Linked DNA regions of Ovis aries. The protein of the gene in region 1 purifies or fractionates together with the protein of each later gene. This does not show direct contact. Links are inferred from orthologs where the notes say so. Each region holds a gene or a part of one and is shown on either strand. Other genes may lie near its edges.

Region 1 (3,500 bases):
CTTAAAAAGGCATTTCCTAGGCCCTGGAAGCCAGATCAGGTGCTCTGGTATACTCTCAAATGGTGCCCTGTATCCTCTGCAGCACTGACAACACTTTACATTCACTAATGTGATTAGCATTATGCCTGCATATCGGATCAAGACACTCCTCTGTTCCAAGTCAATGGTTCTCCATCAAATGCAGAACACAGTCCAGTCACTTTAGTGTGGCATTTAAGGTTGGCCACAATCTGGCCTCTCAGAGACTAAATTCATCTGTAAAATGGTGGCATTAGTACATGTCTGGTATGGTTATTAAAAGAATCAAATGTCAACTTACATGAAAATACTTTTTAACAGTAATCCAGCATCCTTCATTTTGATAATTTTTTTTTACTGTGTGAATAATATAAAATTCACCCCAACAGTAGCAACATTTAGCATATTTACAATGTTACCCAACCATCACTTGATAATTCCTTTTGTTACTCCTTTTTCATACCCCTCCTCTCCGTCCATACGACACACTGCTCTTTGAAATACTTCTCTTTTGAGACCTAACTGCAACCAAATTTCCTTTAAAAAGTTGTTCCTATTCTCTAACTGCTGGAGTAACTGCTCCCTTTATCTAGCATTTAGCATTTACCTTTCTAATACAACTGTTTCCTCACCCAATTTGCCCAGCAGGCCGTAAGTTCTTTCAGGGCTAAAACCACTTTTCATCTGCCTTGGTCACCCTATAGCTCTGCGGTATTTCAGAACAGGAATATAACATGTTTCTTAAAGTGATTTTGACTTTTACTTGCCATGGGGGTTCTCTTTCTGATTCCATGCTCACTTTAAACTAAGAACAGTGTCATTTTCCAATTACACTGAAGAACATATGCACAGTGGCATTTTTCATTAGGACACAGGACTACAAGCTAGAAAATGTGCAGTCTGGTCTTGAAAAGACACATGGCCTTTTGAGCTGTGGCTTTCAAATATTAACAAGTGTTTAATAAACTATAAACCAAGATTAAGAGGGGCTTTACTCTCAGTGCCCTGAATATAAACAGTCAGTCTATACAGAACTAATTCTGTTTTTTTTTTTTTTTTTTTTGCGGAACTCATCTCTTAAGTTGACATTCGTATTTCCACAGTATACCTGAGGGATTCATTCAAGCAGGGTATGCCCAGCAGGCTAATAAGAACTGATAGTCCTTCCAAGACAGTTTTCTCTTTTCAATAACAGTATCAATAAACAGTAACACACGTGTACACAACAGTTGAAGATATGCTTTCCCAAACATTATCCCATTAAGTCCTGGTGGAATCTACTCAAATGAAGACTTAGGAAGACAAAGTATGTAAGACTCCAGATTTTACAACTCTTTCTGGATTCAGAGAAATTATATTCCTTTCTTCAGAGCCCAGAAAGGTGAGGAAGAGGAAGATAACTAGCTGTAGAAACCAATATACATTTACCACATTTTTCATTAGTCTGACCACTTGACAGTAAGCAATGTAAAAGCAAGGACTGTGTGTCTGTCTTATTTACCAATGTAATTCCTAGCACCATGCCTACACTGTGCCAGGTTCATACAGGGATTTCAATTAGTATCTGCAAATTAATAAATAAGATTACAATGTGATGTAGAAAATGGGAACATCTTAGGGAGGTCACCAGATAATGCTAATTATGATAAGTACCCTTTTTTGTGGGTGGGGATGGTTTTCAATTTCTCAAAGTGATTCTAGAGGCTGAGGACATTAGATTTCAAATAAAATGACAAGAGATTTTCAGCTCCACTAACTGGTGCAGCTCTTGGCTACCACTTACCTTGATTCGTGAGCTGGGGTTCAGCATGATGTATTTAATAGAACCTTGGATATTCTCTGTCCAGGAGACTAGCCAAGTAACCTTGTTATCGTGTCGGACTTCTTTCCACTTATGACCTGGAGGAGGAGAAGGAACCTTGGCATCTCTGTGGAAATAAAGCAGTAGAGCAGTGAGGTGGGAAGTAGTGACCAATTTCACTTTTCATCACTGGAAGTGGATGAATCTGTGAGCATGTATTTCCAAGCTTCCTCCTCACCAGACAATATATGATAAGCACCTGAAGATCTATACACAGAAATACCATGCTGCTCCCAGTCTTCTGTAATGTGGGGGAAAAATCCACACTACCGAGAACAAAGGAAGCCACCCACTTCATTTCTGGCCAAAGGACGAACTGTGCTCACTTGCTACAGTTGATGATTATATCCTCAGGCATGATTCGTCTCTTCAGCATGCCCATCTTGGGGTGGTTGCCGCGGCCACGGAAAAGCCCAGGAGGTTCTATCTTGAAGTTGGCGATCCTCTCTCTGTGGTTGTCCATAACACAAAAGCCATATTCTTTCAGTAATTTTTCATTCTCCTCTTTGATTTTCTGGAAGACAGCCAAAAAGTACTCAAAGGGGATTCAATCTACTGTTCTCTACTTACACATTTCTTAGCTCTTGTGTGAGAACAGGTCCAGGTAAAGAAAAGTTTAAAAATCACTAAGAAACAAATTCAGATAAAGGAAAACCTATGAAAATTATTTTCTTTTTCACTGCATGGCTTGTGGGACCTTGTTCCCTGACTAGGGATCGAACCCAGGCACCCTGCAGTAGAAGCTAACCACTGGACCACCAAGGAATTTCTGGAAAACCAGAGTTTTTTACGAGTTTAAATTCTCATATGAACATTATTTCACACGGGGTTTCCAGCACAAAGACACTTGCTATTGATTCTTTACTAGTATATTGGTACATGTATTTCACACTGCGATCCTTTCTCCAAAAGAGAGAAAGATTTGGAGCGTCCTTAGCCTGTGCTAACCCTTCCCTCATATTGATATTATACTCAGCAATTAGATTTAAACTAAGTCCTGCTGCCTTGGGCATAGATAAAGATTCACCTGCTGGTGACAGGTATCCTTGGCAAGGCTCTGACATGGTGATACTTATAAAACCTCCTGACATGGATTTTAGTTTGAAAAACACCCCTGAAGTGAAAAATAAAATAAATCTCACTAGTTTGGAATACTGAGACGACTAAACTGAGACTGAAAAGCACGGTGCAGGTGTCATTCTTACCATCTCTGTAGTAACTAGTTTTTTAAACCAAAGGTCAAATAGGTACTCTCAAACAGTGAGTTACATAGAGACAGTGGCCTAAATTATATAAACATGTAAATCTAAGATACTGACATTTAAGGCTTTGAAGTGCCAAGAATTCCTTAAAATACTTAACTGCCAGGTATATAAAATACTTAACTTCCAGACCTCTGCTAACCTGTTTTGTTTTTTTGTTTTTTTTTTTTTTTGCTAACCTGTTTTTTTTTGATCCCAGCTTTGAGCCAAAAAAGTCAAACTCCAGCCTTGAGTCTCTAGATCGGGCAATGGCAAGCTTTTTCTAGATAGAAAATGTTTTAGGCTTGAGAGCCATACGGTTTCTGTTGTAATTACTCAACTTTGCCACTGCTGAAAGCGACCATAGATAATAGGTAAAC
Region 2 (4,116 bases), about 23 Mb from region 1:
GGCTGCTGTCTTCTTAAATGAAGAAGCAGGCCCTCGTCAGACACCAAATCTGACCCAGTCTATGGTACTTTGAAACAGTAGCCTTACCAAACTAGGACATAACATAGTGTAATTCTTCAAAGTATTTTGTTTACTTGAAAACTACTTACAGCTTCCTCCTCTTTATCAACATTACTCGTCTGTGACAATTTAATATTTCCATTTCCAAGTTCTCCACTTGCAGAAAATTTCACTCCATCTTTAGCACAGGAAATTACAACAGCATCTCCAATATGACTGAGATCTCGGCATATACGTGCAAATTCACCAGAAGGCATCTTTACTACACAGCTATACTCTTGTTCCTATAAAACAAAGAAATGTAAAGGTCATGGAAATGAAAGATTTGGCACCCTCACTTCCTGAAGATTCAACATCTAAACAAGAACTCACAATTCAAGATTTTCTGATTACTCTGAAATATCACTCATTGTGCAATTTCTTAACATTCTACTAAAAAAAATGCAGATATAAAAAAGAATAATCATCATCATACTAAGAAACCAATTAGAACTTAAACTTTTAAAAGTAAATGCACTATCCAGGGAACAAGAGCCTCCAGCTAATCACTCTATAGGAGGTCTAAATCAAGAAGACATTAGTATATGGCATACAAATGGTAACAGCACAAATAGGTTTGCTTTCCAAAACAAGAGCGTGTTAGGCATTGTAAACATCTGAACACATCTTCTTTTGATGTTGATAAAACCTAACCATAATGAATTTCTGCTAAAATAGCTTTAAAATCTCAATAAAAATCAAGCACTCTAGGAATAATAATTTTTTTAAAAGATGCAGAGGTTAATGCAAATATGTCCTTGGCAGCAATGAATTCAAACCATAGCACTGTAGAACACCATAATTTAATAAAATGACAAATATATCAGTCTAAATACCCTACTCTGGAATATACATGAGCAGATATACAGAAAAGTTCTATTAGGAAGTAGGCTTTAAATTATTATATAAATATATGTTATGTAACTATCATAACTGTGTACAGCATGCTCAATCAGAAACTTTTGATACTCACTGGAATTCCAAGCTGTTCAACATCTAAATCCATTAACTTCATTTCATAGTCTGAAACCTTTTCCTGATCTACCAAAAGAAAGCAAATTTGAAGAAAAACACGTAAATTTACAACTAAGAGGTATATTTTACAATCATCAGACTTGGGAAATACACTGCATTTTAGTTTCCTCTGCCATAACTCAGTAGAAGGGTGGACTTACTTGGAGCTTCAAATACTAGTGCCAAGGTGTCCGCATTATCTTCAGCCCTTAAGGTAATGATGTCTTCATTGCCAGCACATTTTAGTATTTTGGACATGCTAGAACAGAGAAGACAAAGGGTTTTTAAACACCATCTTCTCAAGATCGTTAGTTTTCTAATGGAATTAAAATCAGGAGTTACCACTTTTAACCATTAGTTGCAGTTGTTTAGAGCGTAAGTGGTGTCTCCTGGACTGCAGCCTATCAGGGTCCTCTCTCTGTCCATGAGATTTCCCAGGCAAGAATACTGGAGTGGGTTGCCATTTCTTTCCCCAGGGGATCTTTTCCACCCAGGGATCGAACCCTCATCTTCTGCATTGGCAAAGTGATGCTTTACCAGTGAGCCACCAGGGAAACCCTTAACCAGTATGCCATCTGTCAGATTGGTGAGTTAGGAAAACGTACTGCACGGGGGATATGCAAGCCGGTCCAGACACTTTGGAATGCAATCTGGCAGTATAAACCCAAAAGGCCCACAACATACCAAAAGCAATTTCACTTCTGGATATAAATAAAAGAACAACATTTTATGAATTTCGAGTGGGTGAAGTAAATTATCGGGCCAACTATCTTTAAAAATGATCTAATAAACCTATTAAAGTACACGGCATGTACTATGGGTATTTATCATAAGCTTTAAGATTTAAACATGTGTAGTTCAAAAATTGAACGCCATTGCCCTGGAGAAAATTTTCAAGTCCAGGATCTTAGGGTGCTCACCGCAACTTTGCAGTAATAAAAGAAATACTCTGGTCCCTAGATAGTGTGACAGAACTAGGATACACTATAAAGCACTTTAAGTCAACCAGGACCAAGGTTTCTCATCCAAGTTGCTTGCACTTAACGACCAAAGCGTTCTGCAACAGTCTTTTCCTGAAACCGCAAAGTCCATCATTTTCCCGCCACCACACGCTTTGTGACTTTGGCGCGGAAAACAGCCGGTTCGCTGTTCGCGCTGCAGCCAGCGCGGGCTTTGCAAACCGCGCGCTCTGCTGGGTCCCGCCACCCGCCCAACTCCGCAGCAGGCCAATGAGAAGACGCAGATGGCCCACGCCAGCCAATGAGGGCCCGGCTCGTAGGAGCTCGCGCCAAGAGCCAGAGGTAGGAGCGGACCATGGCCCGGATGTCCGAGGCTTTGGAGCTCACCTGGTGAGGTTCACGCCCATGGCCAAGTTACGGTCGCAGCGGTAAGTGTCGAAGCCCTCGGAGCGAAGGGTTAGCTGCACCAAGGAGACATGAGACGAGTCCATGCTCTGTAGGTTCACGCCACTTGAGCTGATGTCCCAGCAGGCCTCATTGATGAGATCCTTAAGCGCCTCCAGCACTTTCTTCAAGATGGAGCCCTGGACCAGGCGCGCCTCGAACATGGTGGCGGAGTCGCAATGACACGGCTACAGGTACAAGGAGTGAGGAATGTGTAACCGGCTTAGGCTTCAGAGGATGAGAGCGAGAGGCAAAACACGATTACGAACGCCTGAGACGCCTCTAACAGCTAGCCGCGCCTGCAGCCGTTTAATACTGCCGCGTCTGCTAGCGCGCGCTACGTCTCCGTGCCCCTTGTTGATACGTCATCACGCTGCCCTCCCGCTGCCTGGGCGGAGAGACTGTAAAGCCAATCCTGTCCCTGCACTGCACGAAAGCCGCCCCACCCCGAGCATCCATTGGAGGATGCAGGTATGGGGGCGGGGCAGGAGCGCAGCGCTTCAGGGGCCCAGCAGATAGGCGTGCGCTGGAGTCTTGGCCGTTTTGTCATGTTCCGGCACCCGTAAGAGGAGTCCTTGTGAGTGTGAAAATCAGTCCTAGGCTGGGCGGGAATGGTCGATGAGCTGCGACGCTGTGCTGCCTCATCAGCCTCCCGCGTGAGGGGTAGAAAATTTACAGCCCTGAGTGAAACGTAAATCCAGGCTCTGTGCTCAGTCGCATCGGTTTGTCTGACTCTTTAGGAAGAAAAGCCACCTTTTCTTTAGCTGTTTGAAGGGAGGTACAGTTATGATTTAAAAAAAACAAGAAAAGTTATCTCCCTACTACCAGCTCTTAAAGCTCCTCCGCCACCTACACACAAATTGATATCATTTATTCTATGTAACTTTCTAAGTTTTTTTTCCTCTACAAGTATATATCTTTTAAAAAACAAAAATGAGTTCATGCCATAAAGAATTCAGCAAAGTGCTTACTAAAGTATGTTTAATTTTATGCCAGGTTCATGTTTTGTTTATCAGCACCTCTTAAAAAGATGGCATCATATCCTACAAATGTAACCTAACCTAACTGCCAATCTCTTGTAATTCGGGCAACTCCTTGAAGTAGTATTGTTGGATAGAGGAGCATACGCATTAAATTTTTGATAAATGTTAACTAAGTTGACTTCTAAAAGATTGTAATTTACATTCCAGCCAAGACTATGAGCATGCTCCTTGCCTCTAATTTTTCTGTTACTGGCAATCTAATTTTTAAATCTGTGCTCGTTTGTGTGGAAATTTCAATTTGCATATTAAAAGACTGGTGCAAATTGGATATCTTTCATACAGTTCTTGACCATTGCATGTTTATATTTTTTCTATTAAACTTTTTTCTGATTGATTAAAAGCATTTCATATATTAACCATCTCCCTATTATGAATATTCTCCCTTTGTTTCTTTTTTCCTTTGTTTACAGCATTTCTTTTTAGTTACTTCTAGTGTTTTACCTTGGTCTGTAGAATTCTTTAGTCTTTCTATCATGTATAGTGTGGATGTGGTTTTATTTATCCTGTTCATGGAATTTTTGTATTCCTCGGCCGAAAGATTGATGCATTTCATCAAA
Region 3 (2,865 bases), on another chromosome or scaffold:
GGGTTTGATCCCTGGTTAGGGAACTAGGATCCTGCATAATGTGTGCAATGTGTGTGGGGGAGGGGAAAAAAGGTCTGAGTTTGACTTTCCTGTAAGATGAGAAGGGTTTGGGCCTTTCTAGCATTTTTTCCCCCTTCAGTGATTAGCCAATTGCCCCAATTTACTGATATCATCAAGTAGTCGACTGGATTATCAAAATATTATTAAATTAGGGAATAGAAATTTATATTTAAAGCTATTTATTGATGGAGGGTCAACACCGTTTGAGTGTGGAAGAGATGAATTTAGCACCCATGTTTAAAGCTCAGGGAAAAATCTGCTTGGCCATTAGTCATGGTGCCTTTCTCTTAGAACTATCACTGTGGCCAGGAGTTATGAGGGACATCAGAAAATGATGAGAATAGTTCTCAAAGCTATTTTATAGTGAATAGTGAAGAGGATATATTTCAGACTAAAGTAAAGAATGTAGTGCAGGGTGAAAAAAGGGCAACAATCAAGGGTTGCAATGTTTACAATGTTTTATTAAAGTACAAAATAGTTGGAATTAAGCTAAATAGAAAAACATAGTAAATATTTACAAAAACATTGATAACATCACTCAAGTCACACACATGTAATGAATGCAGGAAGGTCTTGAAAAGTTTATAAATTGAAAATTATGGAGATTTCCCAAAATGGATATAAAAGCTCACTGCTGAGTGTAGATAGCATCAATATTCTTTGAGAATATTGTTCCTGACTCCTTTGCAATCTGAGGGGACAAGTCAAGTGCTGAGATAATCACAACTTAGGATCTAATTTTCTTCATTTTATTGACTGTTATAAAGATACATCCATGGTGTTTTTCTTCAGCTTCTGGTGATATTCAAAAGGATATGAAGAATACAAACAATTTTTCACTGCTTAAAAACTCAGCATATAAAAGGCTGAGTATTTGGAACTGGAACTACATAAGAGTTCTATCTGATGGAAAATTGCTTATAAAACTAAGATAAAACAGGAACTAATCATGCTCTATCTCATATTTACTGAAAGTAGGCAGAGCAGAAACTTTTATGTCAAAGGGCTCCAATTTTAGCTTAATAACTGTCAAACTACATTATGCTAAAGTTACCACACAACTATCCCAAGAGGCCAGGAGAGCCTAAAATCATACTTTAAAAGACAAAAGAAAACAGACTAAATACATATACAAAGCAGAGAAGAAAACAAAACACTTTCCAGGAGATGGTCACAGTATTATACAGTATTACAGAGAGATAAAGGACACTTGGGCTCTACATACTTCACCTTAATGGTCCTGAACTAAAACTGCCTTCCCCAAACTAAATTCAGAGGGGAGGAAACTGAGACATTTACCTAACTTTAAGATCATTACTTAAAATAGTCACCTCACATTTTAAAAGAAATCATCTTCATCTGATTCTTCAAGGTACTTTATAGGTTTCTTTGTTCTTCCAGATTTTGCCCGAGAACCCACAGCTGAGTCCAAGTCCAGATGGAAATCATCGCTTTCCTCCTTGGGTTTCTAAAATAGAAGAGCACAAGTAATTTCCAGTATCAACCAGACAGTAGAATTTCAATGCAAAAAATATACCAACAGACTACAACTCAAGGAATATTCCACCTTCTAACAAGTAGTAAGAAAGAGACCAAAGGCAAATCTCTCATTGACTAATTAGTGACATTTAGCTGTTTTACAACTAAACTACACAGAGTAAAAGGGTAATGGATTTACATTTATTTTCTTAAAAATGTGCCAAATTATTAGCAGCAAAGCTTGATTATGTGTTTCACAATAACTTTTTTTCAGTGGAAAAAAAAAACCTACAGTGAAAGGGCTGACTAGAATAAATACCTTGCTTGTGACTGCTTTGGAGATCAGTTTCTCAAAATTAGAGTCCGAATCATCAGAGGAGGATGGCTTCCTTTTGCGGCGAGTCTTGGTTTTAGGGGCATTAGGCTTTTTAGAGACATCAGAATCCAAGTCTGGGTCCTTTTTGGTTCTTTTTGGTGCAGCCCTTTTCTTGGCGCCTGTAGTGGAGGTGGGAGACTGACCTGTAACACAGGCATTCATCAGGGTCACTCTCAGCTGAACTGTTTCCACAGCAAACTTTCTTTAGCAACTTGTTTTCCGCTTATATTTAACATAGGAAAAGACAACATAATTGAGACGAAAATGCATGAGAGAATTGAAATATTCTTAAGTATCCGATTTTTTTTTGTAGTTACATGCTTCATGTTAAATGTTTGTAACTGTTTCTAAGTCCCATCCCTGTCATAGATATGAGTTAGGATAACACCTGGCATTTTGAGAAACCCTCTTTTTAAAAATCTTTTGACTAGCAATTTTGATTATAAAGATCTAAGGATTTGTTTTCATTTAGACAAAGTCTTTATTTTAATATCTATAGTAAATTTTGAGAATAAAAATTTGAAGTTGACTTGTAGAAGCCAGTTCAGTTCAGTTCAGTCACTCAGTCGTGTCCGACTCTTTGCGACCCCATGAATCGCAGCACGCCAGGCCTCTCTGTCCATAATCCCAATATTAACCCAATTCAAAGACTGAGGCTCACTTTTTGCTGCTGTCTTCTTTGCTGTCACATTCTTTTTAGGAACAGGGTTTATGGTTTCAGTTACAGCTGGGAAATCAGCAGCAGGAGAGCTTGGAGGAGGTGGTACATTATCCTCAGCATCATCAGCATCAAGCTCTGTTACTTCAAATGGAAAGGAAAGTAGTACATATAAGCAATACATGAAAATCTGTGCTTTGTCCCTGCTCTGAATTCCTGTTCAAACACCATGTTTGTGACTTTTCTGGAATATTTCAAACACACTCTTATAACTTTGTTCTAATTTCTGGGT
Region 4 (3,500 bases), on another chromosome or scaffold:
TTAATCGCTCAGGAAAAATGAAACAAGGGAAAGTAAGAACGTCCAACTGTGAGACCGGCAGAAATCCCACCAGAACCTTGGATCGGACTCAGGCAAAGGATACTTTATGATGCCAGCCAGTAGCCAGTAGTCATGGCGTCGGTGCCAGATCTCGTAAGTCTTCTTGGTGACGGTGGCTGCCCGCTCCTCATTCTGCCACAGAGAGTGCAGCTCTGAAGAGAGGTATGGGGAAGGGGGTAGAAACACAAAGGCAGACACCACTGAGGATTCAGCTACTCACTCCTGACCCCAGATACCAACTTACTGTGCCTTTGGCTTTGTAACAGGGACCCCAGAGGAGTGTGCCGTAGGCCTGGCATTCCCTCTAGGAGAGCTAAAGTCTCCGTACCTTGGTTTCTGACAAGAACCCTAATTTCACCTTGAATCTTTCCAGTGGGCCCTTTTTTCATACCAGTAAAACCACCATCTGCGATGTTGAACATGAAACGCTGTTTAATATTTTTCTTCTGCTTCTCATCATTCAGGTCCTTCGGGGTCTCTCCATTCTGAAGCATCACCTCTTTTTTCTCCTCTTCTTCTTTCTTCTCTTCTACAGAACAGGCAGAAAAGAAATGTCAGCTCTAGACAGAAGACAGCACCATGGCCCTTACCTGTACATATAGCACTGTGTGCTACAAGACCACCCATCTACCTCCACCCTTTCTCCACGTGTTTTTATATTTATATAAATATTTATTTGGCTGCGCTGTGTCTTAGTTGCAGCACGTGAGCTCTAGTTCTCTGACCAGGGATCGAACCTGGGCCCCGTGCGTTGGGAGAGCAGTCTTAACCACTCGACCATCAGGGAAGTCCCCGCGTATAACTGTTTCTTAAACCCACAAAAAGGTGCCACCAGCCGCTGACCGTCACAGGAAGGGAGGGGGGGAGTGTTTTAGCTTGGGATAAGATGATTATATCAATATTGATAGGGAGCCTGTGGGTGGAGGAGTGTCTGGGAGACAAAGTTCTTCCTTTCAGAAATAGAGTCCTTTTACAGTACAGTCGGCTTCTCCAAACACCCACCTTTGTCCTCCACCACAATGGGAGTCAGATCGACTGCTGCCTTCTCCTCCACCTTCTCCACATCAGCATTACCTGGGGGGAACAGACAGCATTGAGAACATATCTAAAGAAGAGTGCTCCCCACCTCTGTTATATCTGAAATAGTCGTAAACCAAATCTTAATGATTAAAAGTCATAAAAGATGTCCTGAGGGAGAAAAAAGCCCACAGTTAAACTCAGGGATGAAAGCGTCTTCCGTGTGTCAGTTCCTCTGGACTGCCTCTAGCCAGGCTACAAGTCGAAGTCCTTTGGTTCGCAGAGTCTGCAGGGCACGCAGATGGACATACCTTTGGGATCTGTCTCCATTGCTTCCTCTGTTCTCTCCTTGACCTCTGCCTTTTCCACTTTCTCCTCTCCCTCAGGAGGCTCCACTGGGACTTTCTCCTCCTCTGAGGCAGGGGCAGGGGGCTGTGCACACTTCAAAAGAGAGAAAACAGAGGTTGAATGAAGCAGACGGGCCAGCCCCCCAGAGGGAGAATGGGCCAATCCCGCGGCCTCCAGTGTGGCGTCTGTCACCCTCTCACCTCGACAGCGGCCTCAGGGGGTGCAGACTTCACCTCCTTCTCTGCCTCTGCACTCTCTTCTTCTTTGAGGTTATTCTCCTCTACTTTAATCCCATCCTCTGCAGGCCAACAATAGACATTAATTAAGAAGGTCCCAGATCACAGAGAAGGTCATGTCTCAGTCTGTCTCATCTTAAACTGTCCTCTCGTGCCTTTAAGAGCCAGCCCTATTCTCAGGACGGCCCTCCTAAACTGAGAGGGAGCTTGCTGTGCGTCCTGCCAGAGTCCCCTGAGAACTGAGCACAGGGGAGCAGAAAAACCACAGGCCAGGACAAGAAGAGAACAGAGGACCACTGCCCAGGAGCACTCACCGGCAGGCGGGGCAGGAGCTGGAGTATTAGGCTGTGTGTCCCCAGGGGTGGAGGGGGTAGGAGTCTTTGGGGAAGGTGACCCTGGCTGGGACATCTTCTTATTTTCCTCTACTTCTGCAAGTTCAGGCATGCTCCAGCGCCCGTTAACGTGTTCAAACTCCTGAACCTGCAGCAATGGGACAAGAGGCTGGAGACCCAAGTCCAACTAGGCTCCTTCCCTGCTGGCTCTCCAGCTCCCACTATAAGCCCTGGATCACAGAGGGAGGCTCAGGGCTCACCTTCTTGCGAATCAAGGACATAACCCCAATCCGAGTAAGGACATGCTGGCGAGACAGGCCTTCTCGGGGGACGCCATCAGCAAAGGTCTCAGCCCCATCTGCTCCTGGCTCACATAAATGCCGCATAAAAAGTGAGACATAAGCCCTGTGGTAAAGAAACAGAGAAACAGGTTAAAGAGCAGCCAGCTCCCAGACCAGACTCCTTCCCACCCGCAGGGCAGTCAGGCCTCATGCTGGAGGTGACTGTGGCTCCATGTGAGGTAAAGCCCGCCGCGGTGCTAAGAGCTGGTCTCCAGACCCTGTCCCGTGCTCCAGGTCCTCTTCTGGGGAAGCAGGGAACAGAGAGACCTATTCCTAGCAGCTGCACTTCCAGCTTCAGCAGGAGACACAGACTGCCTCCTGGCACAGCAGGCTCCAGTGTGCAGAAAAACCCAGACTCAGAGGCCTTGCTTTACAGTGCTCACCCAAGCACTCAACTTACTTGAATTCCTTCTCCGATTTGCCTCGCAGATCCCTCACAAGCCACTGGGTGGTGAAAGCATCCTGAGGGGGCATCCCATAGCGCATAATTGCATTAAGAAAGGCTTTTCGCTGACGAGCATTAAAACCAAGAACCTGGGGGCAGAAGGAGCCAGGTGAGAGGGAGGCAACCCAACTCCCCCAAGACCCGACAGCCGCTCGCACCCACCCTGCTCTAGGAACCGAGCGGTACTCACTTCAATATTCCCACCAACACGGGCCAACAGAGGAGGCAATGGCTTATCTTTATCATTCCGCAGGCCCTTACGACTGGGCCTACGGGGAGCTACAAAAAGAAAAGGACGTGTGAGCGATGCCAATCGGGATGTTAGACACAGCAACAGGTAAAAGAATCCAACAGAAAGGCAAGGGCCTCACCTTCTGAACGTTCATCAAAGTCTTCATCACCTTCCTCTGAGGCCACCGAATAATCGGACTGGTTGTCGGACTGGTCGTCCTGCCAATCTGGAGGGAGAGAGGGCAGATGAGCGGGGCCCACTGCTCTAGTGGAACGGCCCATGGGTGGGGGGCGGGGCCGGCCACACACACCTCGGTCCTCCTGCGAGCCATCATTGTAGTTGACCTGTTTACGAATTCTTTTTCCTTTGCCCAGGTTTCGGGCCAGATCTTCTTGCTGCTGCTCATAATGGTGTCGCAGCAATTTCTCCCAGTAGTCGGGATCCACACTTTCTTCCTGTTTTATGATCTCCCGTTCCACCTCCTCTTCC
Region 5 (4,007 bases), on another chromosome or scaffold:
GTACCCCCATGAAGTACTAATCCTATCACTTGGTTAAAAACAATCACAGTCATGAAAAGACTGGGAAGCTCTGAATAAGGACCCAGTAAGTATAAGAAGACAGGGGAGAAGCTCATGCTCACCACCCAGGGTCACTACCTAGGGGTCTCTACTGCAGAGACAGAAAGGTGCTGCAAACTCTTCCTGCTGTAGCAGTTCTCATTAAAAAAAAAAAAAAAGCCCATTATCTTATCCCTAAAATAACACTATTCACTCAGGTATAAGGTTTAAGGTTTGAAAAATTTCTACTCAAAAAAGGAAGTGTGTGATAATCCAACTCTTTTCGGGACATAATTAAACTGTAATTAAGAGATATATCTTATTTACAATAGCCTCACAAAATGTACCTTAAAATCAACTTGCAGATAAAGGAGATGAGGAAACACATTAGTTCCTACTCTTATTTTAAAAAAGAAAAAAAAATAGCCTTTACATGCTCTACAACTCTAGGTAGTTGTGTGAACAGCACTGGAGTTACAAGAAGCAACCACACCATTCTGTAAGGCTAATGCTTTAAGGGTATTTAAAACTTACAAGTGGGAACGGAGTCTAAACTAGTTTTTTAGTTAATTTTTGTCTTTGAAGATGGGAGTGGACAACACAAGTTTTGGGATTTCTATAATTAACTACAAGTTATTATTATTTCAAGGCCAATTTTCTTACTCAAAAAAGGAATAAGTGTAGAAAAGCAAATATAGCTTGCCCCTGTGTATTTCACTATTTTCCTGCTGCACCTAAGAGGATAAGCAACCAGAACTTATTCCGGAAACCACGATCTTTAGTTAAGCAGGTCGGGATAAAGTGCTGTAACCTGGAAGACTGCATAAAGCAATTCGACAGGTGGGGTCTAAGCACAGTTATTAAAACTCACAGTTATAACAAGGCAGGAAGTCTATTCAAATAAGATTTTTCATAACGACATGACAAATTTTGCCAAGTACATTTTTATACTGGCTTGTAACTTTGTAAGATCAGGATCTTATCATTTAACATGCTCCTTTCAAATGATAGAAGGGCCAAGATAAATTTTAGCATTTGAGAAACAAACAAAAAAATAGGGCCAATAACTTAACTTTCATGGATTTAAAGACTGTCATCGACATTGAGTTTACCAACGGGTCTTTAGGCCTCAAGTATTTCCCTAGTACATGCTTTGCATTTATCTACCATGTATGGGAACTTTGAGCTCTAAATTAATTTTAGCTTCAGTGAATGGTCTAGATAGGGTTATCTGATCAACTTCTGAATCACTGGGACTAGAAACAACCACTATAGCAAAGGTGTGTGAGGGGTCTATGAGTGGAAGAGCAGGCATTTGATTATTACTCACATCATAGTACTTATTAATCTTCAGGAAATATCTGGGCATTTAGAAAAGTATTTTTAATATGGATTACGTTCAAACTTTAAAAACATGACAGTGAGAGAACTTATAAAAACATCTGGTAGAAATTAACCAATAAAATTTTTAAAAGTAAATTTATTTCAGCTTTTGTCTAGCATAGTCCTTAGTTGTGCTTATAAAATGCATAAAACCCATTTTATTTTCAATCATCTAATCCATTTATGCCCAAAAGATAAAACGTGCACAGGAACCTTTAGTATGAACGGTAGGCAAATGATCAATTTTAATAGCTTAGTTTTTAGTAGATCAGTTTCAAAGGCAATTTACAATGCTGAAGTCAGAACTGATCATTTTTGTCAGGATGCTCTTCAGGTTTTAAAAAGCCCTCTTTAGCTTTATCTTCCCTGAATGACAACAGTTCAGAGGTCATACTTCAGCTGGATAGCTCAGAAGACACCACAGGATGCAATCAAATGTTTGAACTGATAAATTACCATCACAAAAATAAAATTTTAATTGCGGACTTTTCCAAGTAATCAATAATACCCAATCCTTAGACTAGAAACGGTAACAGCTCTTTTTCTAAACACGTGCCCTGGATCCTCAACCACGGAGAAAACGAATAAGGTTTTAAGCATCACATCGTTTTTCTGCATTACCAAAACCTGCAGGTTTTCAGCGTTAGATTTCTGTGTTACCCACGGCAGGGCCTAGAACAGGAGGCGGTTGCGCGTGAGCAGTATGTCTTTTTTTAACTCCAGCAAGAGCAACGCAAATGGTAAACGCCAAGAGCCCGATTCTCATCCTTCTGGCCCCTCCATCCATCCTTGACGAAATGGTTGTAATTCTGGCGGGACCTGGGGCACAACACTCTGGTTCTGGAAGGACAGAGCGAGTGCGTGGGTGTGTATGAACACTGGAGGAGGGGGCAGCAAGACGTGATCACGGAGTGGGAGGGAAGAATGATGATGCCTCTTCTAGGGCGGGAAGAAACTACGAGAGGTGGCTGTTATGCATGACGGGGGCAGGCACGCGGGGAAGATGGTGGTGGCCGCAGGGTAAGGTGATTACGGGGGGGATTCCCTGCTACAGGGTGGCGCTTGGGGTCGTCTACGGTGAATGATCCTGGAGCAACTAAATGGGCACGACCCTGAACCCGGGAATTCCTGACGGAAAGGGGAAAAAAGGCGCCGAGAAACGGGGTTATTATGGGATGGCAAAGGGGGGCTCCCTGGGGAAATTACGGGATCTATCTCACCCTCCAATTGCTGTACAGTCTCTTCACTCGTCGATAATAAGCGTCTTTGTCGAGAGTTACAGCCATAGCCACAGACGCCGCTTCTCCTCGGGTTCCGAGAATCACGCGAGGTCCCGGCTCCGCCACCCTCTCTCGGCCCCGGAATCCCGCACTCTCCCAGTGACCCGGAAGTATCGACCTCAGAGATGCCCTTTCCGCTTCCGGGTCCCGGCAGCGGTCGGAATTCTTTTTTAAAAAAATCCTTCCTCCGGAGGTTAGGGGGAGGAGAGGAAGGAAGAGTGGGAAAGCAACAAAACATGCAACGCAAAAAAAGCCCAGATTTTCGCGGGGTTTTCTTGTCAACTTAGCAACAGCCGCACGCGAGTCGACGTCATCACGTGATGCTCTGCCCCCGCCCTTACTCTGCCCGGGGCCGAAGTCTCCAGGAGCGCCGATTCCGTGTCGAGGAGGCGGCGGCGGCGGCGGCTGGACACTGAGGAGGCGGGAGTCTTGACGTGCCGGCCCCGCCCCATACAAACTGCCGCGCGCGGGTGCAATGGCCCCACCCATAGTCAAAGGAAGGGGAAACGGAGAGCGGGATCTGGGGTGGGAGTGGGAAGCCTACAGCATAACTGGATTTCTCTCGCTCCTAGAAAATGTGGGGAAGCAAAAGCCTCTGCCCCTCCAGGCCTGGTGATAGGACGCTGGGTTAGGGGCTCCAGGCAGACAGGGAGCTCAAGCCGGTAAGAGGGAGCACATCCTGCGGATAAACTGAACTTAGGCCCGCGCCACGGGGGAAGGACTTCACCTTTGAAAGGGAAATTAAATGCCCAGGCTTCATTTGAGCGCTAGGACGATTAGGGGAGGAGTCATAGGAAACAAATGCGAGCTCAAGCCGTGACAGCATCCTTCCAGCCAGCCAGTCCCCTGCCACAGTTCATGAAGTGACACCATTTTTACGCCTTCCCCGAAACAATTTCAGTTAATTCAAAACAAAATGTACGTGGGTCTTGATGGAAATTCTTCTTTCTCATCTCTTGGAGAACTTGGGGATTTTGAATCTGGGAACATTTTGCCTACTATTTTAGCTTAGATAATTTGGCAAGGTCAAAAGCCTATGCTTATGTACAAGCTTTTCACTGAGTAAGGATGACTTGTCTGCCCTATCCAAGGTAACTTCACACATTAACAGTAAGGAACTTTAAGAAAGTGGTGTTGAAATTACCCATCATGAACATCAACTGGTAATATTTATATTGGGTTTGAGCAAATATAGAACGAGGGAAGAGTGGGAAAGGATTAACTTAAATTTATTAATGCCAAGGGGAAGGAAGGTAACAGTTCCTGACCCTCCAGCTGTATCCACAGTTCGGTCAGGAACAGGCT
Region 6 (4,143 bases), on another chromosome or scaffold:
TGGACCCATTTTAGAATTCTGATTTACAGAACCATAAGATAATAAATTTATGTTGATACTAAATTTGTGGTAATTTGTTATAGCAGAAATAGGAAGACACCTTCCAAGATCACACTCAGACTTCATTAAAGAGGAGGTGCTCACTTCATTTGGTTCCTAAATAATCTTTGATGATACAAGAGCATTACCAAAGAGGAATTTTGAAATATTGTTCACAATCACAGCAACTTTGCAATTTGAGTGTTATACATTGGGTGGAGGTGATAGAACATTCTTTTTTAGGGTAACCATTATTTGGTTACATTAGCTACACTATATTGAGGAATTATTTATTTTTAGTTGAGTTCTGTATTAAACTTGAATTAATTTGTTCAAACCAAGGAATCTTAACAAGTTATACTATGCTTGTTGAGTTCTATCCTAGAGAAAGTGAAACTGATTTAATTAAAAAAAAAAAAAAAACCACAGAGAAAATTTAAGTGAACCAACTTGCAGCTACAAAAAGGAAAACTAACAGTGCATTAGAAGAAAGAATTTTTTAAAATAAAAACTGGGGAAATTTACACTATTGGATTTCTCATGGATTATGAATTAATTTCCAAAACAAAGGGGCCACACCCAAGGACACCATAATCTTTTGGAAACTCTACTATAAGTGCCAGAGCTCATATATATATATGTATGTCTCCTTCCATGCTTGTATATAATGCAGGTGAAAATATATTACATGGGTTGGATAAATGAAGTCCTTGGTCTTAGTCATTAAATTGGTTAAAGGTATTATTATATGCTACAGTATTAAAGTATGAAAAGTAACATAATATTTAAATCATAGTAGCAATCCAAAGCAAAAAGAAAATCATTCAAATGAATATTTCTAGGGTACTTAAGTCAAACTGAAGATATAAATTTAATTTAGTCATTAAAATTTTTCTATAAACTAAGTATTTTTAAACACAAATTTGGTTAGGGTTCAAAACTAAAATCATATCCCTTTTGTCGATGCCCTTATCCTATTTAAAAATAATTTAAAATTAATTATCTTTCTTTTTGTATTTAAACAATAAAGTCTAATATAACATCTTTCAGAACTAGAAGGCTGTAACACCCAGTCTGCAAACTGCTGGCAAAACTTTAGAGATATCCAATTATGAATCATGCATGCATTTTTTAAAAAAAGAACTCATGCTTCTCTTCTACAACCATTCAACCTTTTAATCTCCAAATCTCTCCACATTTCAAATCCCAAATAATCTCAGATTTGAGGATATTTTATTTTTATTTTTGTATCTAAAAGTATATAAAATATATCTGTTCTATGTAGCATAGTTTGAGGAAAGGACGATTCGCTTGTGAAATCACTTGTTAAGTTCCAGGTTGAGTTACTTTTCCTTTGTCTTGTTATGCTGGAGTTTTTGCAGTGTACATTTCATATAAATATTATTTTTCAGAATCAGAAATCGTTGTCGAAACCTGGAATAAAACTGGAGTGACTGCCAGGAAGAATTTATTTTTAGCCCCAGATTTAGGAAGTTAGTGAAGGCAAAACACACACACACACACACACACACACACACACAGAAAAACGAACTCACAACTCATCCTCACACATACAAAACTGGAGTGGGGAGAGGAGAAATGACATTTTTTAAACTATGAGGAACTGAAAACTTCCCAGGAAATTAATGTATACCAAGTAAGTTTAAAATACCCCAAAAGGTAAGAGACACTCAAGTGGTAACTAAATTGGCAGCATTATTTCAGGCATAATTGCACTAATTTTTTTTTTCATGTATGTCTATTTCCTAAACAAGCATATATGTTCCTTACTCGGTTAAAAAAAAATAATAAACACGATATATGGTTGCTTCTGAATAATTTCAATCGACCTTTATTCCAACTTACACAGCAGTAGATTTCCACTGAAATCTCCCTCTCACCGCCCCTCCCCCCCCAACAAAGAAGTCGATCAGCTCCATTCACAATTTTATAAGTTCGGGAGTAAGTGGTCCAGCATGTCTTACTGTCTTTATACTCGTACTCCAGACGTTCGTCAATTTCGCATATCGGTCTATATTAACACACGTAGGTTCTCCCTTCTAGATCTTCACACCGTTTTAGAGATCTGAACCCCACGCGCCTTCTCAGCCAGCTCCGCGGCCGTCCTGAGCCCCCTGAGAGTCGCCGAGAGGTCTCCGATCCCGAACTCGGTCTGAAAAGTCTCCCCTTTACCAAGAAACGCTTACCTGGTTCCGACTCACTGGCGGACCTCGTCCTCCAAAGCCTCTCGCCATCCACCCACCCACCCAGCCGCCCACCTTTCCGCGGCAGACCTGCTGACCCACCTGAATCGCGCTTCGACCGTAACGGTTCGGCGCGTTGGCCAACGCTCCAGCCTCGAGCAGTGCCCGTACCTCGTCAGCCCGGCCCCGCGCGGCGGCGGCGGCCAGCAAGTCAGCCGAGGTCTCCATGCTGCTCCCCAAAGCTCGCCCCTCGCTCCCTCCCTTCCTCCCGCCTGCGTCGAGCGCGGGCGGCCCGCCCAGGCTGCTCCTGAGCAGCCCGCCCCTCCTCTTTCCTCCTACGGGGCTGGCGGAAGCGGCCCCCAGACTCGGCCCCTCGACTCCTCCCGAGGAGTCTTTCCACCCGGGGAGCGCCCTCCACGCGCTCTTCCAGGAGGCGCCCTTTGCTCCTAACGAACAAGACGTCTATGAAGTAGCCCCCGCCGGGCCTCCTCGGTCACAGGTCTGCCGCCCACGCGACCCGAGGCACCGGCCGGAAGCTGTCCGCTCCGGTAGCGCGACGGGACCGCGAAAGGAGGGCGCCCTGGGACCTCCTCCCCGCCCCCCGCCCCGCGTCCGCGCGCAGCGCGCCCCCACCCCCATCAGAGGCGCACGCGCGGCTCCGAGCGAGTTCACTCCAGCCAAGTGAAAATTCCTCGCGTATACACCCTGAGTGGCGTGAGACAACTGCATAGGATTCCTAACTGCCAAGTTCGAACCAGTGTGTTTGGAGTCATAGGCAAAGTTATTGCTTCCTCTTTTAATCAGAAGAAACAGCCAGCTTGTCCTGGCCCCGAGCGCCCAGGATAGGTATCAGCCATTCCACCATGAGGCTTTCCTTCTTGGAGAGGATACACTCCCCCTCCAACGCTCAGCACCAGGTTTTCGAGCGCTGGCTCGATTATGCCAGAAATTCTAGCTCAAACGTCCCTTCTGGAGAACTGGCTCACGCGCCAGGCTGTGCCTCCCTCCCTCCACACACATGTAAAACGGATGTCGGGGGAGAGCGTTTCCTAGGCTTGCACAATGCCTGGTACTAGTGCCCAGTATACGGGCTGGCTCCGAGCAGATGAGGTCAATTTAAAAGGGATGGTGGAGATTTCTACCTGTACGCAGATAGGAAAGTGGCAAGGGTATCCTTGGGCTTAGTAGGCTCTGTTCTCAATAATTTCTCCTACACCAGAAAACATGCTCATTGCTCTAGGGACAGGGCTGCATTCGGAGATGATTCAGAAAGCAGGCTCACACACTGTCTTGGTGCCACTTCTGTCCACCTTTCCTTCCTGTTAGAAAAACCTTACACTTTTCTTAGTTATAAAATGGAGGGGGGAATAAGAGGTGTCCCTACTTCCTAGGACTGTTTTGAGTTTTAAATGAATTGATACACACATAAGCATTTAGAACAGTATCACACATCCTAAGCTCATGCCTGTTAGCTCTTAACATCCATTTTGAAGATTTTCTTGCAATCTAGGAGACAGAGAAGGAAATGGTTTAGGTAGAATTATCAATATTACATATAAAAGGGCAGGCAAGAAAACCTTAATCACTGAAACAATGATGGACATCTTCCAGTGACCGACATATTTAATGAAAAGTTAATGTTTAATCTGTCTGCTAGATAACCCAGCTCTGTTTTAAAAGTTATATTTCAATTCCTACTTGACTCCTCTTGAAGACCCATAATACTTGACTATACTTTCAGTGGCTGTTAGTTTAGGCAACACATGAGGTTTTAAATAATGACAATTAAAACACTTATGGGACTGGGAAGTCAAGTCCATTATAAAATCCACAATGCATCACTGTGTTATGTATATTTTCCTCCAGGCACCTCTCAAGTATGAGAGCAACAATGATGTGG

What was found.
Region 2: the proteins of TOP1 (region 1) and PCNA purify together in Homo sapiens (affinity purification with western blotting; 3 studies listed by BioGRID and IntAct, with this or other methods). This does not show direct contact. The link is inferred for Ovis aries from reciprocal best matches to the Homo sapiens genes TOP1 and PCNA.
Region 3: the proteins of TOP1 (region 1) and TOP2A purify together in Homo sapiens (co-immunoprecipitation; 4 studies listed by BioGRID and IntAct, with this or other methods). This does not show direct contact. The link is inferred for Ovis aries from reciprocal best matches to the Homo sapiens genes TOP1 and TOP2A.
Region 4: the proteins of TOP1 (region 1) and CHD4 purify together in Homo sapiens (affinity purification with mass spectrometry; 3 studies listed by BioGRID and IntAct, with this or other methods). This does not show direct contact. The link is inferred for Ovis aries from reciprocal best matches to the Homo sapiens genes TOP1 and CHD4.
Region 5: the proteins of TOP1 (region 1) and SUPT16H fractionate together in Homo sapiens (co-fractionation; 3 studies listed by BioGRID and IntAct, with this or other methods). This does not show direct contact. The link is inferred for Ovis aries from reciprocal best matches to the Homo sapiens genes TOP1 and SUPT16H.
Region 6: the proteins of TOP1 (region 1) and cyclin-dependent kinase inhibitor 2A purify together in Homo sapiens (affinity purification with western blotting; 3 studies listed by BioGRID). This does not show direct contact. The link is inferred for Ovis aries from reciprocal best matches to the Homo sapiens genes TOP1 and CDKN2A.

Annotation. Positions count from the first base shown.
Region 1 is NC_056066.1:69,751,757-69,755,256, reverse strand, and holds part of TOP1 (DNA topoisomerase 1), read right to left. Parts: intron 2,394-3,500; coding exon 2,206-2,393; intron 1,947-2,205; coding exon 1,802-1,946; intron 1-1,801. UniProt on the Homo sapiens protein: Releases the supercoiling and torsional tension of DNA introduced during the DNA replication and transcription by transiently cleaving and rejoining one strand of the DNA duplex.
Region 2 is NC_056066.1:47,048,102-47,052,217, forward strand, and holds the start of PCNA (proliferating cell nuclear antigen), read right to left. Parts: upstream 2,801-4,116; 5' UTR 2,681-2,800; coding exon 2,460-2,680; intron 1,373-2,459; coding exon 1,275-1,372; intron 1,141-1,274; coding exon 1,073-1,140; intron 345-1,072; coding exon 150-344; intron 1-149. UniProt on the Homo sapiens protein: Auxiliary protein of DNA polymerase delta and epsilon, is involved in the control of eukaryotic DNA replication by increasing the polymerase's processibility during elongation of the leading strand.
Region 3 is NC_056064.1:40,375,080-40,377,944, forward strand, and holds the end of TOP2A (DNA topoisomerase 2-alpha), read right to left. Parts: intron 2,718-2,865; coding exon 2,577-2,717; intron 2,059-2,576; coding exon 1,709-2,058; 3' UTR 1,529-1,708; coding exon of another isoform or gene 1,400-1,528; 3' UTR 501-1,399; downstream 1-500. UniProt on the Homo sapiens protein: Key decatenating enzyme that alters DNA topology by binding to two double-stranded DNA molecules, generating a double-stranded break in one of the strands, passing the intact strand through the broken strand, and religating the broken strand.
Region 4 is NC_056056.1:209,672,248-209,675,747, reverse strand, and holds part of CHD4 (chromodomain-helicase-DNA-binding protein 4), read right to left. Parts: coding exon 3,322-3,500; intron 3,238-3,321; coding exon 3,151-3,237; intron 3,059-3,150; coding exon 2,970-3,058; intron 2,869-2,969; coding exon 2,735-2,868; intron 2,399-2,734; coding exon 2,254-2,398; intron 2,142-2,253; coding exon 1,976-2,141; intron 1,940-1,975; exon of another isoform or gene 1,802-1,939; intron 1,724-1,801; coding exon 1,626-1,723; intron 1,519-1,625; coding exon 1,389-1,518; intron 1,135-1,388; coding exon 1,063-1,134; intron 590-1,062; coding exon 452-589; intron 213-451; coding exon 104-212; intron 1-103. UniProt on the Homo sapiens protein: ATP-dependent chromatin-remodeling factor that binds and distorts nucleosomal DNA. Acts as a component of the histone deacetylase NuRD complex which participates in the remodeling of chromatin.
Region 5 is NC_056060.1:24,113,821-24,117,827, reverse strand, and holds the start of SUPT16H (FACT complex subunit SPT16), read right to left. Parts: upstream 2,801-4,007; 5' UTR 2,709-2,800; coding exon 2,643-2,708; intron 1-2,642. UniProt on the Homo sapiens protein: Component of the FACT complex, a general chromatin factor that acts to reorganize nucleosomes. The FACT complex is involved in multiple processes that require DNA as a template such as mRNA elongation, DNA replication and DNA repair.
Region 6 is NC_056055.1:90,755,901-90,760,043, forward strand, and holds the start of cyclin-dependent kinase inhibitor 2A, read right to left. Parts: upstream 2,801-4,143; 5' UTR 2,472-2,800; coding exon 2,346-2,471; intron 1-2,345. UniProt on the Homo sapiens protein: Acts as a negative regulator of the proliferation of normal cells by interacting strongly with CDK4 and CDK6. This inhibits their ability to interact with cyclins D and to phosphorylate the retinoblastoma protein.